Linked DNA regions of Arabidopsis thaliana. The protein of the gene in region 3 interacts with the protein of the main gene of each other region in a pairwise test. Each region holds a gene or a part of one and is shown on either strand. Other genes may lie near its edges.

The links.
Region 1: the proteins of EID1 (region 3) and SK14 interact in binary tests that used the Arabidopsis thaliana proteins (3 or more experiments, as listed by UniProt).
Region 2: the proteins of EID1 (region 3) and SK4 interact in binary tests that used the Arabidopsis thaliana proteins (3 or more experiments, as listed by UniProt).

Annotation. Positions count from the first base shown.
Region 1 is NC_003071.7:959,368-963,242, forward strand, and holds SK14 (SKP1-like 14), read left to right. Parts: upstream 1-1,940; 5' UTR 1,941-1,954; coding exon 1,955-2,404; downstream 2,405-3,875. Other genes in the region: SK19 (SKP1-like 19), read left to right, coding at 278-880; AT2G03180 (uncharacterized protein), read left to right, coding at 3,397-3,759. UniProt on the Arabidopsis thaliana protein: Involved in ubiquitination and subsequent proteasomal degradation of target proteins. Together with CUL1, RBX1 and a F-box protein, it forms a SCF E3 ubiquitin ligase complex. The functional specificity of this complex depends on the type of F-box protein.
Region 2 is NC_003070.9:6,984,613-6,989,334, reverse strand, and holds SK4 (SKP1-like 4), read right to left. Parts: upstream 3,024-4,722; 5' UTR 2,906-3,023; coding exon 2,588-2,905; intron 2,430-2,587; coding exon 2,256-2,429; 3' UTR 2,004-2,255; downstream 1-2,003. Other genes in the region: AT1G20150 (Subtilisin-like serine endopeptidase family protein), read left to right, coding at 1-314, 384-484, 563-805, 917-1,031, 1,118-1,328, 1,408-2,003; AT1G20135 (GDSL-like Lipase/Acylhydrolase family protein), read right to left, coding at 3,837-3,964, 4,052-4,301, 4,383-4,619, 4,708-4,722. UniProt on the Arabidopsis thaliana protein: Involved in ubiquitination and subsequent proteasomal degradation of target proteins. Together with CUL1, RBX1 and a F-box protein, it forms a SCF E3 ubiquitin ligase complex. The functional specificity of this complex depends on the type of F-box protein.
Region 3 is NC_003075.7:1,070,041-1,075,289, forward strand, and holds EID1 (F-box family protein), read left to right. Parts: upstream 1-2,440; 5' UTR 2,441-2,514; coding exon 2,515-3,525; 3' UTR 3,526-3,739; downstream 3,740-5,249. Other genes in the region: SR34b (RNA-binding (RRM/RBD/RNP motifs) family protein), read left to right, coding at 6-52, 141-198, 328-377, 496-543, 617-846, 1,245-1,326; AT4G02450 (HSP20-like chaperones superfamily protein), read right to left, coding at 3,947-4,059, 4,281-4,416, 4,510-4,637, 4,745-4,901, 4,987-5,173. UniProt on the Arabidopsis thaliana protein: Component of SCF(ASK-cullin-F-box) E3 ubiquitin ligase complexes, which may mediate the ubiquitination and subsequent proteasomal degradation of target proteins.

The DNA of each region.
Region 1 (3,875 bases), on a different chromosome or scaffold from region 3:
GAACAAAAGGAGTATATTAGTATATTGCTAAAGAAGTTTCTAGAAATATATATATCTTCCACTAAACCCTAGTTAAAATAGGATTTGAGTCTATTTTCCTTATTTCTTTGTGAGAAAAGGAAACAACATGAAACCCAATATCTAATTGTGAAAAGGAAAACACAATTGACTGAATCTTAGGGTTCTATAAATAGACTGATTCAACAATCTCTCATCAAAATTTCTCTTCACAAACAATTGACTCTTGTTTTTCGTTCAACACACAAAGCAAAAAACAATGTCTTCGAAAAAGATTGTGTTGACAAGCTCCGATGGTGAATCTTTCAAGGTTGAAGAAGTGGTGGCAAGAAAACTGCAGATCGTAGGACACATTATCGAAGACGACTGTGCTACAAACAAAATCCCTATTCCAAACGTTACCGGAGAGATTCTCGCCAAGGTTATCGAGTACTGCAAGAAACACGTTGAAGACGATGATGACGTGGTGGAGACGCATGAATCATCGACGAAAGGAGATAAAACAGTTGAGGAGGCGAAGAAGAAGCCTGATGATGTGGCCGTACCTGAATCAACTGAAGGAGATGATGAAGCTGAGGATAAGAAGGAGAAGCTTAATGAGTGGGATGCAAAGTTCATGAAGGATTTCGATATTAAGACGATCTTCGACATTATTCTGGCTGCTAACTATCTCAACGTCCAAGGTCTTTTTGATCTCTGTAGCAAGACCATTGCAGATTACATAAAAGATATGACGCCAGAGGAAGTTCGAGAACTCTTTAACATCGAGAATGATTTCACACCTGAAGAAGAAGAAGCAATTCGCAATGAAAACGCTTGGACTTTTGAGCAAGATGGAAAACAACAAGTTCCAAAACCCTAGCTTTTTGCTTCGTTTCTTTTTTCTTTTTTCCTTTTACATGTATGATTTGTTTCTGTTTTCTCAAGTGTGTGTGGGATTGATTGGTCTCTTTAATTTCGTTGTTAAGTCTTTCTTTACTTAATTGACCAATTTTCTTGCACTATTATGATGAATGATGATCAATAAATATGCTTTAGCTTTAGCTATCTTTTAGAGTGAAGCGGATTAAATCTCAACTAATGAATCGTCCACCAAAATTATGAAAAAATTAAAGAGAATCGTCCACCCAAATCCTCCGGCAATTCCGAATTCTTTCTCCGGTTGTAACGTAGTAAAAAAAAGTCGCCGCCGTTAAAAAACTTCCTATTATTTTCTCTTTTTCTTAAAATTATTAGTTCGTATGAATCAAAGTTTTTCTTTTTTTCTTTTCTTATGCTAGTTATCAAGAATTTCTTATATACAAACATGTATATATATTTACGAGGTTATTTATGATTTTTCTTAGAACAATTTATTTTTTTATGTACTGTTTTGATCGAGGCTCGAATCTAGCTAGATCAATAGAGATTATTTAATTTGAGATTTACTCTTCTAATTAGTAGTTATTCAAATAAAAGTAGAAAATTAAAACCTAATAAACTAAAAGAACGCAACTGATTACAAAACTTAATTTATAGACTCTTATCCTATAATTAGATTAATAATTAATCAATTAAATTCAATTCTAAGTAAGATGGACAAATTAATTAAATAAATAAAATGTCATACAAAATTTTCATAGAAAATAGCCATGTTTAGGAAAAAAACTCTTTTTGTATGTTAAATAAGTTTCTAGAATCTCCTGATAAACTCTTTTACTAAGACGTCGGTTTTTACTTTTAAGCCCAAAAGTTTTAAGGCTAAACACTAGAGATTTGGAAGATTTGCTTTTCTTCTCTTCCAGTATTGTGAAAAGGAAAACACAATTGACCGACTCTTAAAATATTTTATAAATAGACGCCTTCATCGACTCCTCTCTATTCCATTCAATATCTTTGCATAAATCATAACCAATATTATTCTTTTCATCACCCAAAATCTCAAAAACGAACAAACATGTCTTCCAACAAGATTGTTTTGTCTAGCTCCGATGGCGAATCTTTCGAGGTTGAAGAAGCGGTGGCAAGAAAACTGAAAATCGTGGAACACATGATTGAAGACGACTGTGTTGTTACCGAGGTCCCTCTTCAAAACGTCACCGGAAAGATCCTCTCCATTGTTGTCGAGTATTGCAAGAAACACGTCGTTGACGAAGAAAGCGACGAGTTCAAGACTTGGGACGAAGAGTTCATGAAGAAATTTGATCAGCCTACGGTCTTCCAACTCTTGCTCGCTGCTAACTATCTCAATATCAAAGGCCTTCTTGATCTCTCTGCTCAAACCGTTGCAGATCGCATCAAAGATAAGACTCCAGAGGAAATTCGAGAAATCTTCAACATCGAGAACGATTTCACACCCGAAGAAGAAGCAGCGGTTCGCAAGGAAAACGCATGGGCTTTTGAATAGACACCAAAACCCTAGTTTTTGGTTTCGTTTCTTATTGTCGGTTTTAGGGTTTTGATGACTTTCGTCTCTCTTTTTTTTTTGGTTTTCCATATTTCGATTTCGTGAATGATTTTATATTTTGGCTTATTCAAGTGGTGTGATTGATGACTTTGATTTCGTTGTTAGTTCTTTACCTTACTCTCTATTATGGTGATCAATAAATAGATGCTTTAGCAATCTTGTTCGTTTTAGAGTGAAAATCGAATCGTCCACTAAAAACCTCCGGCGATTCGGAATCTTCTCCGGCGTAGAATAGAACATAATATCGCCGCCGTTCTCTTTTTTTTGTTGGGAACTAAATGATTGGCCCTGCCTAGGGTTTCTCCGTATCTTTGAATATCCTTCTTAATTTGTTTATTAAACTATATAATAGCGATAAGAAATTACTATTTATTTTTAGGCTCCTATTTAATATTTATATATAGTTATACGTACAAAATAATTTAGTTTATATTATTATTATTTATTTTTTTCCTTTTCCTTCCCAAATCTAGGATGGGAATAAAATACTTCGTTTTAATATTCTTTTTTTTCTTTTCGGGTTGATAATTGAGAGGTTAAGATTTTCTTAGAGCGATTTATTATTTTATGATATTAAAATATACGGACGATATACTGAAAGAAAATTCATGCGAGAGGATGTTAATATGCAAATTAATACTATTCAGTTGAATTTTGCCATGCAATCTTTTTGGTCGTAAATTTTGTTGAAAACTTATCCAATCTCATATGAAGCGTCCCAAGGCCCATATCAACACTTATTACGTAGAAAACATCATAAAGCGAGAGAAAAAGAGAGAGAGGCAGAGAGATAGGAGCGTATGGGCTTTCTTTTTTGTTTTGTCAAACAACTTTAATTTACTTAAAACCTAAAAGAGGGATGTTCATACAAATAGAAACTGAAAAAAACACAAAAGGAGGAGAGATAATGGCTCCATGAGTTTTTCAAAAAGATGCTCATCTTTAAAGAGTTTGCAAAGATTAAAAAATCTGTTGAAGCAAAAATTGGGTTCGCCCATAAAGACAGACTTCACAAATTCCTCGACCACCATGTGGTTATAGATGGCTCGAGCGAACAACGCATACAAGCTTTTAAGAAAACGTTCCACGGAAGAAGCTGCCGGATAAGAGAGATTGTCGAAGATTCGGTAACTACTTCTCCTTGGAGATGCAGTCAAAATGCCGTTATTCTTCAAACTTTGAAAGGTTTGCAAATTGATCAAGAGCTTGTCGAGCCTAAAGAGTTGCTCACCTTAAGAATTACTAAAGATTGCTTTATAATCCTAGAAAAACCACCAATCGCAGATGTTGTGTAATGTCATATACATGAGCTCAGAATTCAGAGGAAATGGATTTAAAGGATTGAGAAAACTTCGGTAATCATCGTTCCGTAAAGACGGGCTCATAATGCTGAATTTCTTCAAGCTTTTGG
Region 2 (4,722 bases), on a different chromosome or scaffold from region 3:
CGTGCTCACTCCTGGGATGTCGTGGCTCGAGCATACTAGCTGCATTTGATGATGCAATCGCAGATGGGGTTGATGTTATATCCATATCAATGGGCTTATGGCCAGACAATTTACTTGAAGATCCGCTTTCCATCGGGTCATTTCATGCCGTGGAAAGAGGGATCACTGTTGTTTGCTCTGTAGGAAATTCTGGCCCATCGAGTCAAAGTGTGTTTAATGCTGCTCCATGGATGATCACTGTTGCTGCCAGCACTATTGACCGTGGCTTTGAGTCCAACATTCTTCTGGGAGGAGATGAAAACAGATTAATCGAGGTAAGAAGGAAAAGCCAATCAACGGACAAATCTCCATTCACATAACATCTTAAAGAATTTCTTTTGCAGGGTTTTGGAATAAATATTGCCAATATCGATAAAACACAGGCTTACCCACTTATACACGCACGATCAGCCAAGAAGATTGATGCTAATGAGGAAGCTGCTAGGTAATAGTTGCCTCGTAAAATTATAGAGTAACTTTGCTATACCTATACTAACAAGACAACACAACTGCAAACCTTCAGGAACTGCGCACCTGATACACTAGACCAAACCATTGTTAAGGGAAAGATTGTTGTGTGTGACAGTGATCTTGATAACCAGGTGATCCAGTGGAAAAGCGACGAGGTTAAGAGACTTGGAGGTATCGGTATGGTACTTGTTGATGACGAGTCAATGGATCTGTCTTTTATTGATCCCTCCTTTCTAGTGACAATAATAAAACCAGAGGACGGCATACAAATCATGTCCTACATAAATTCAACAAGGTTTAAGATGTCTCATTTCACAAGACATTGCTTTCAAACAGAACTAATAATAATATTTTTACCCAAAAAAAAAAAAAAAACAGAACTAATATATCATAATCCATATTGTAGAGAACCAATTGCAACAATCATGCCTACAAGATCACGAACAGGACACATGTTAGCTCCATCCATACCATCCTTCTCATCAAGAGGTCCTTACTTGCTTACCAGAAGCATCCTCAAGGTATAAGCCCTAATATTCATCATAAACATGATCTCAACAGTATTCACAGAAACTTCAAAAACAAAATATTGATAAACCTGTTACAGCCTGATATTGCAGCACCAGGGGTCAACATACTAGCATCGTGGTTAGTCGGTGACAGAAATGCAGCACCAGAAGGCAAGCCACCGCCACTCTTCAACATTGAATCAGGGACTTCAATGTCATGTCCCCATGTCTCCGGGATTGCTGCTCGTCTCAAATCCAGATACCCTTCATGGAGTCCTGCAGCAATCAGATCTGCCATCATGACAACAGGTGAGAAATCAAAATCAAGTAGATACCAGTTACGGATGATTGATCAGCTAGAGTTAACCCAAGTCAACTGTATCTGCAGCCGTGCAAATGACCAACACAGGTTCCCATATAACTACAGAAACAGGAGAAAAGGCCACACCTTATGACTTTGGTGCTGGGCAGGTTACTATATTTGGACCTTCATCACCAGGACTGATTTATGAAACCAATCACATGGACTACCTAAACTTCCTCGGCTACTATGGATTTACATCTGATCAGATCAAAAAGATATCAAACCGCATACCACAAGGTTTTGCTTGTCCTGAACAAAGCAACAGGGGAGACATATCTAACATCAACTACCCATCAATCTCGATTTCTAACTTCAATGGAAAAGAAAGCAGAAGGGTAAGCAGAACAGTGACAAATGTAGCATCACGCCTCATTGGAGATGAAGATACAGTCTACACTGTGAGTATCGATGCACCAGAAGGATTACTAGTCAGAGTTATACCAAGAAGGCTACACTTCAGGAAGATAGGAGATAAACTCAGCTACCAAGTGATCTTTTCATCTACTACAACAATACTCAAGGACGATGCGTTTGGATCTATAACATGGTCTAACGGAATGTACAATGTGAGAAGTCCATTCGTTGTAACCAGCAAAGACGACAACGATAGCGAACGTTAACGATAATCTAAAGAGAACACATTCATGTATAAAGAGCAAAAAGATTAAGCAAGACCAACACTTTCTCTCAAATATTTCTCATAAAAACCAATAGATGTTGTTAGTAGAACAAAGCATTAGGTTTTCATCGACAAGGACAACTCCAATCGAAGAGAAAAAGAAAGAAAAAAAAAACAATCCGAAATCTTGAAAGCTAAACACATCTAAATAGAAAGACTAGAGATTCCTAAACACCCTTCAGATCCGATCCAATCACTCGAACGCCCACTTGTTCTCATTGCGAACCTCCGCCTCTTCCTCAGGTGTGTAATCGTTCTTGATGTTGAAGTGTGCACGCATCTGCTCTGGAGTTTTGCCTCTCATCTGATCAGCCACGGCCTTGCACGTAAGGTCAAGAAGTCCACCGATGTTCAAATAGTTCGCAGCCTGTACAAACCAAAGAACCAAAACGATTAGTCAAATCAAAACGACATTCAACACACTAAAACCCTAACAGAATCCTGCAAAATCAAACCTAAATCCCCAAATTAAAAACCCTAATTCTAACAACATCAAACCTAAACAATGAAAGCGACTTTACTAACCAAGATGAGATCGAAGAGAGTAGGCTGATCGACTTTGACGAATTCGCTGTCCCAATTCTTAAGCTCGTCGTTCTCAGCGGAACCATAGAAATCCTTGTCTCCACCAGCTTCAGCAGCGGCTTCAACGTGCTTCTTGCAATACTCAATAACCTTGGCGAGGATGGCTCCGGTGACATTGGGAAGTGGAATTCCGTTATCGGCACAGTCGTCCTCAATCATGTGCTTAATCGTCTGGGACTTAACAGCGACGGCTTCCTCGATCTCGAAGGATTCACCGTCGGAGCTCTTAAGGATGATCATCTTCTTCGTTTCTGCCATCGTAAAAAGTGACGACTTAGGAAAAGTTTTTGAAGGAGAATCGGCGCTGCGATTGATTGTTGTGATGGTGTCAAGGTTTGGGAAGTTGGAGCCTTATTTATAGCCAATTTCTTAATTGGTATTCAAGTCGGTTTATTGCTTTTAAGTTTTTTTTTTTTTGCCGGCTTATTGCTTTTAAGTTAATCTACTCCTTTTACTAATAGGAGAACAGTAAAAAGTAAAACAAATATTGGAAATTTAAGTTTTTAAAAAATGGAAAATTTATGTTGTTTTAAATAAAGTAAATATTTTTACTTTTCCACAAACTTCACCTTAGCTGTATTCCGTTAATAATATTTACTTTTTCAGATTTACATCTGATTTCAGAAAATACAGTTTATCTACGTGTGCAAAAATCATTGACTAGGGTTTTTATGTTTTAATCAAAGAAAACCTCCACGTTTGTATGTAAAAATCTATGTGAAATTATGAATTATTATTTGGGTATTTTGTAGTGAATATCAAGGAAAATGTAAAAAGTAGGTAACAAACACCACAATTTTTGGGAAAAATATTGCGTTACACTAAACAAACCAAAATTAATAACATATTTATTTGTGTTGTATTTCTCTCATTTGTTGATCTTTGTATTTGTGTTGGATGGAAATCTTTTATCTTCTTCTAGTATTTTTTTCTTCTTTTCCAAACACATAACTTTTCTGGTTTGGTAAACTAAGAAGCACCAAAATTATTGCAAATGAAATTATCACTGATTCTGATTAATTGATGAGAACACATAAATCAAGCTTAACAATAGAGACCTACAAGCGGCTCATCGTCGATCGAGGAACTAATCATATTCAAACCAAGGTTCATGGTTCTCATGTCTAAATATAAAAAAGAAAGAGAAAATTAGTGACTAGGCGAGGTTGCTTTGGATGGTACTGAGGATCTAAGGTAGAACAGTTTTATAGGCTTTTTCAGAAGGATGGGCAAAGTCCCAGAACACGTGACTACCAGATCTTAAACACGGAATCGGAGTCATCACCGAGCAACAACATGGTTTTGCCGTCGTAAACCCTGAAATGTATTACAATGTAGAAATTAGCACCCTTGTTTTTTCTACCATATATATTCAAAATTTGCGTGTGTTACTCAATGTTTTACCGTATTGGCTAGGATTATTGATGACCTCAAGAAGTGAGTTATACATATCGATGTAGACGAATTTGCCATTGGGAAGCCTTTGGTTGTACTGATTGACCAAGTTAGCTACTTTGTCATTATAAACTCTAGCACCATAGTTTACATTCGGAAGACATATCAAATTTCCGGTAATTTGTCTCGCCCCTGGCAAACACCCTAACGGTAACGTTCCAAGAATTGCAAATTTTCTAGCTCCTAGATCATATAGACTCTGTTATTCATACAAAATAATCATTATAGGTAGAACAATATTATGAAGAAAAAAAGTTATAAATAAATGTGTGTTGTATACATTTATGAAGGTAGTTTTCCAACCGATGAGCATATCAGTGTATGCTTGGACAGTGTATCTCGTTTGTCTCTTCGGAGTTGAAAAATATGTGATGGCAAGATCGTTATTACCAGCAGACACTAGAATCACAGCATTGGCTATAATCTCTTTGACTTTAGCTGCATCTCCAACTTGTTGGTTTAACTTTTCTAAGTATCTTTGAAAGTCACTCACCTGATCTTGTACCCATATAACCCCCTATATAGTTTGCACATATAGTAAATGAGTAAGAACATATATTACTTTATCTTATTGAAAGTAAGAAGTACATAACAAGTAGATTTACCTGTATAGATGCAGT
Region 3 (5,249 bases):
TACAGTTGTAGTGTCAGGTTTGCCTTCATCTGCGTCCTGGCAAGACCTCAAGGTGATTACACAGTTGTGGACAGATTCCTCATTGTCGTTCCTATATTTTCTACGATTTCTGAATGTTGACATATCACTTTGTTTTGAAGGATCACATGCGTAAAGGAGGAGAAGTTTGTTTTTCTCAAGTGTTTCGTGATGGTAGAGGTAAATCCTCATGTCTTACCCAAGAATAGAGATGTGTCTAAAGCTGTTTGGGTTTTCTGCCTTTAAATCCTGTTTTAACTAGTCTGTGCATGCTTTAAAAAATCTATATCGTGGACTATTTATTTACAGGTACAACTGGAATTGTAGATTATACCAGCTACGAGGACATGAAATATGCGGTGAGATGTTTTTCTTCCTCTTCATATTATTTGATTTTCTGTGTGGGACTGTGGCTGAGAATGTGTTCATCCTTGATTACTCATGATTATATTCTTTATTTTGTCCAGATAAAAAAAGCTCGATGACACAGAGTTTCGGAATGCGTTTTCTCATGAATATGTTCGGGTATGTTAAAGACAAGAATTCTGAGAGCTGCATTCGTTTTTATTGCACTTAACATTTCCCTATGTCATTACAGGTTAGAGAATATGATTCAAGGAGGGATTCGAGGAGCCCCAGCCGTGGAAGATCCTATTCTAAGAGCCGCAGCCGTGGACGGAGTCCCAGCCGTAGTCGTAGCCGCAGCAGAAGCAGGAGCAAGAGCAGAAGTCCAAAGGCTAAATCTTTGCGTAGATCGCCTGCAAAATCTACATCGAGATCTCCTCGCTCTCGCTCCCGCTCTAAGTCGAGGTCACTGTCTCCACGAGGGTATGCTTCATTTCTTCTATAATGTTTATGCTAAAATATCCAACATAAAACATAACATAGGCTCTATTTAGCTCTTCCCTTGAAGTTTGGTGACATCACATTAAAAGATGTCACTGGGATGACTCCGAGTTGTTGATTGAGAATGATGATTGCTTCTAGTTAAGGGTACACGATTTATTTCCTTTGAAAGTCTGGTCTTTTATAATTATAGTGTTGAGAATGGTTTTGTTTCTTAGATATGGATATACATACAATCAACTAAAATATGGGAAATAGTATCTGGATCATGGATGTCTTGGTTGGTTGTACACAACTGTTTCGTCTCAGAGGTATATGCTCTTTCTTAGATGGGCAAGTTCGTTTTCTGATAATATCCATTGCTGCTAGATGGGTAACAGTGGAGAGACATTGGATCGCATTGATATAGTGTCATCAAAATGGACCCATCGAGCTAGGACAGATATTTTCATTACCTGCTAATCGACAAGCGATCTGGATTCTCATGGAACCGATGCTGTTCTGGACACAGGGTTTGATAGAATTAGATTTGCTTTGATATTCTCCATCTCTACCATCTGTTTTAACGAAAAGCAGGCTTGTGTTGGTTTGATTTTCTGCTAGAAATAGTCTGAAGATATGTTTTTTTCTTTTTTGCTTCTTGTGATTGTGTTTTGATGTCTGACATGGAATGAGGCATCAAGGGTCTTGGTGAAACAGCTATTAAACACGGAAATATTGGATTTTTAAAACTGGATTTGTTTCTCGGACTTTTGCAGATCTCGTTCAAGGTCAAGATCTCCTCTACCCTCTCTAAGTCATCTATCTCTAATACACTTTTTACTCCGCTATACTATCAGCACAATATTTTCGGTTTTCAATCCATACTATCCAAAAGACATGATCTATGTCTAGCTAATTACATTCTCATCATCTGGATTGAATTGTGTGTGTTGCAGGTTCAGAAGGAAGCAAGTAAGAGCCCTAGCAAGCAGCTGAGCCCTATCCGTGGTAGGAGCAAGAGCAGAAGCAGGAGTCCATCTCGGTAATGCACACTCTTTTTAACTTGCTTGGAACATTCTCACTCTTTCTCTGAATCTCTTTCCAACTGTTTTACAGGTAAAGAAACATCTCATATCAGGTAAAAAGCTGGGTCTGTTGGAAGATTCTCATAAAGATGATCTCTCTTATGTATGAGAAGTTGAAAAACTAGTTGTGTATTTCATTCTTATTAGCTTGGGTTTGCACATGGGAATGATATATACTCAGTCATCATCAGTTTATGAGCTAAGCTCAGCTGATTTATATGACTTGCTAATATAGTTAGTGCTTAAAACGAACTATCAAAAATTACTGTCGAATACCAAACTTAATTCAAAAGCTCACAATTCGATATTAAAATTTTGAAAACGTTCACAATAAATGAACCTAAAAAGACATGTGCATTGAACTCATTTTGATACCCGGACCCTTTACATTTTAGTTCAGTCCGTACGATGTCATTTTCGAGAGCTGTTGCGCATTACTTACTTGCCTTTGTGTGGGTGTTAGTGAATCTGTGACCCACCTTAAGAACAGTTAAGACTATTCCCGGTTTACGCGTACCGGACCCATAACAGTATAAGTGAATTTGGATAAGAAAGGAGCCGCCTAGAGAGAAGAAGGCGATCCATGGCGGAATCTGTCTTCTCTTGTATACCAGAAGACGTAGTCTTCAACATCTTCTTCAAGCTCCAAGATGATCCAAGAAACTGGGCTCGTCTCGCTTGCGTCTGCACCAAATTCTCCTCAATTGTTCGAAACGTTTGTTGTAAAACTCAGTGCTACTCCGCTATCCCCACCGTCATCTCCGATCTCCTCCCTCTTCCTCCCTCCGCCGCCGCATCCGCTTCTTCATCCACCGCGGCGGATTCGTCTCTTACTCCTCCCGGTGGTTGGGCTTCTTTATACAAACTCGCTGTTTGTTGTCCTGGTCTCTTCCACGCTGGAATTCTCCTCGAAAACTCCGATTTCGGTTTAGAACGTGAGCTAGGTCCCGATCAAAACCTCGATCCGAAACCTACTACGACGGATCTAGCTCTTAACGACGAAGAAGTTTCGAAACCAGTTGGATCTGGTTTAGAAACGACTTCGTTTTGGTCTCTATATGATGATCTCTACACAGATACTATTCCCGCTCCTCCTCCCGAAGATTCAATCGACGATCAAGAAGAAGAAATCGAAACGAGTGAGATCAGACCTGGACGAGATCTTCCGGTAAGGAAACGAAGGAAGATTTGTCGATCTCTAGGATCTCATTTAGCTTCCGGTGGCTGGAACCTTAGCCGTGAACAAGGCAACAAGCTTCTCGCGAGTAGATTCCGAGGTGATTGTCTCTACATTTGCAATTGGCCTGGGTGTATTCACGTAGAAGAGAAACGAAATTACATGTTGTTTAGAGGAGTCTTCAAGGATTTCAAAAGGTCTAGAGTTTGGAGAACGATAAACGACGGTAATCGGAGTAAGACCTCGGGTTTGAAATGCGCGTTTTGTTTGTGCGATGAGACTTGGGATTTGCATTCATCGTTTTGTTTGAGAAGAGTGTTTGGGTTTCATGATGATGGTGAACCAGTTGTGAGAGCTTATGTTTGTGAGAATGGTCATGTCTCTGGTGCTTGGACTGCTTTACCTCTCTACACTTGATAGCTCACTAGAGAGGACAGGTCTTTCATTCTTCTTCCACGGTCTCAAGTCTCAATCTTGTTTGATGTATTTGTAGGAATAGTGTCATTGTGTTTCAAATTCTGGTTAATGTTTAAGTAATGGTTGAAGAAAATTGGCTCAACATATTGTGGTTGTTTTGTTTCAATGTTGACAACATATTAGACTTCGATTCAAATGCATAAACTCTTACGTCAAAGCCAAAAATTTCAAGTCCAAGAACATTTGGAAACAATATAACCCAAAACAAAAGGTAGAAGAAACTTAAACCAAGATCAAATCCATAGAAAGAAAACAGAGTACCAACAACATTCATATAAAAGAGGAAGTAATTCAGAGGGTTTCATAAACCTGAAAAGCTAATAATACCATATGGTTTTTCATCATCTCTAGAACAGAGTCTTCACTTGTCTTCCTTAACAGATGTTGTTTCTTCTGCCGCTGGTGCCTTCTCTGTCGCAAGACCTTCCTCCTTAACGGCATCATCCTTCTTGTCTCCTGATTTTGCTGTCTCTTCTGCAATTTACAGAAAATGTTTCATTACTTCAAAATTCTGCATTTTGTTGAGGAACAAAGAAACACAAAAATCTGCAAAATGTTTCCTAAGACAGAGTACTTGGCATATCATATGGAATATGAGATACTTCAATAACAAAGTCAATCAACTCTGGCGAAATGCTTTCATTTCAAGGAGGCTGTGACCAAACATAAACGAGAAAGATCTTCAAAAGTATTACCTTCATCATCACTGTCTTCAAACTCTTCCATGCCTCCCATACCACCCATGCCTCCCATTCCACCCATGCCTCCCATTCCACCGAGCCCTTCGAGTCCGCCCATTCCACCCATTCCACCCATTCCACCCATTAATTTCTGCACGAAGCAAGGATCAAGTATGAGGTCATTTCTCAGAGCTAGGTATATCTGAAGCACAAAATGAAGGACAATCAAAAGTTAGAAACAAACCGAGAAATCCATTCCTTCCATTCCTCCCATTCCACCCATTCCTCCCATTCCACCCATTCCTCCCATGCCGCCCATGCCTCCCATTCCTCCCATTCCTTCCATTCCTGCCATATCCATATCTGCGGCACCTAAACATAACATAGAAAACAAATAAGTTAACACATCCTGAACTTTATATAAAGTGCAGAGAGTGTACACAAGAACAGATAATATAAGCGTTAAGATGAATGCTAACCAGCACTGCCTTCATCGTCCTCATCAACCCACTTGTCCCAATCAACCTTGACATAGTGTGGGGGCTTCTTCACACGGAGTAGCTTATTCCACCTTTCCGGCTCTGCTTTCTCAATTATGCAGAATATGCTTCTCTCTCCAATGTTGATTTTGCTTTCCTAAAAGGGAAAAAGGTTAAAAGATTTAAGAACTAAACAGGTAACAAATGAAACAATAAGACCAAGTCAGCCTACAAATTCTCACCTCAACATTGACTTTATCGGCAAGTTCCAGTTTGAGCTCATAAACGTGGTTTTCTGGACCAACTTTCGCAGAGAAATCAAAGACTCCTTCTGGGTCTAGGTTAACCTTGGTATCCTTAGTATCAGCTAATACTACAGTGAGGAAAATCTTCTCGGTAGTCTCAGCCCACTTCACTTCAGGATGACGACTGTAAAATACATGAAAAGCAATCACCTTTTAGACCAAAAACATAACAAAAGAGAAACACCCAAATGTGTATACAA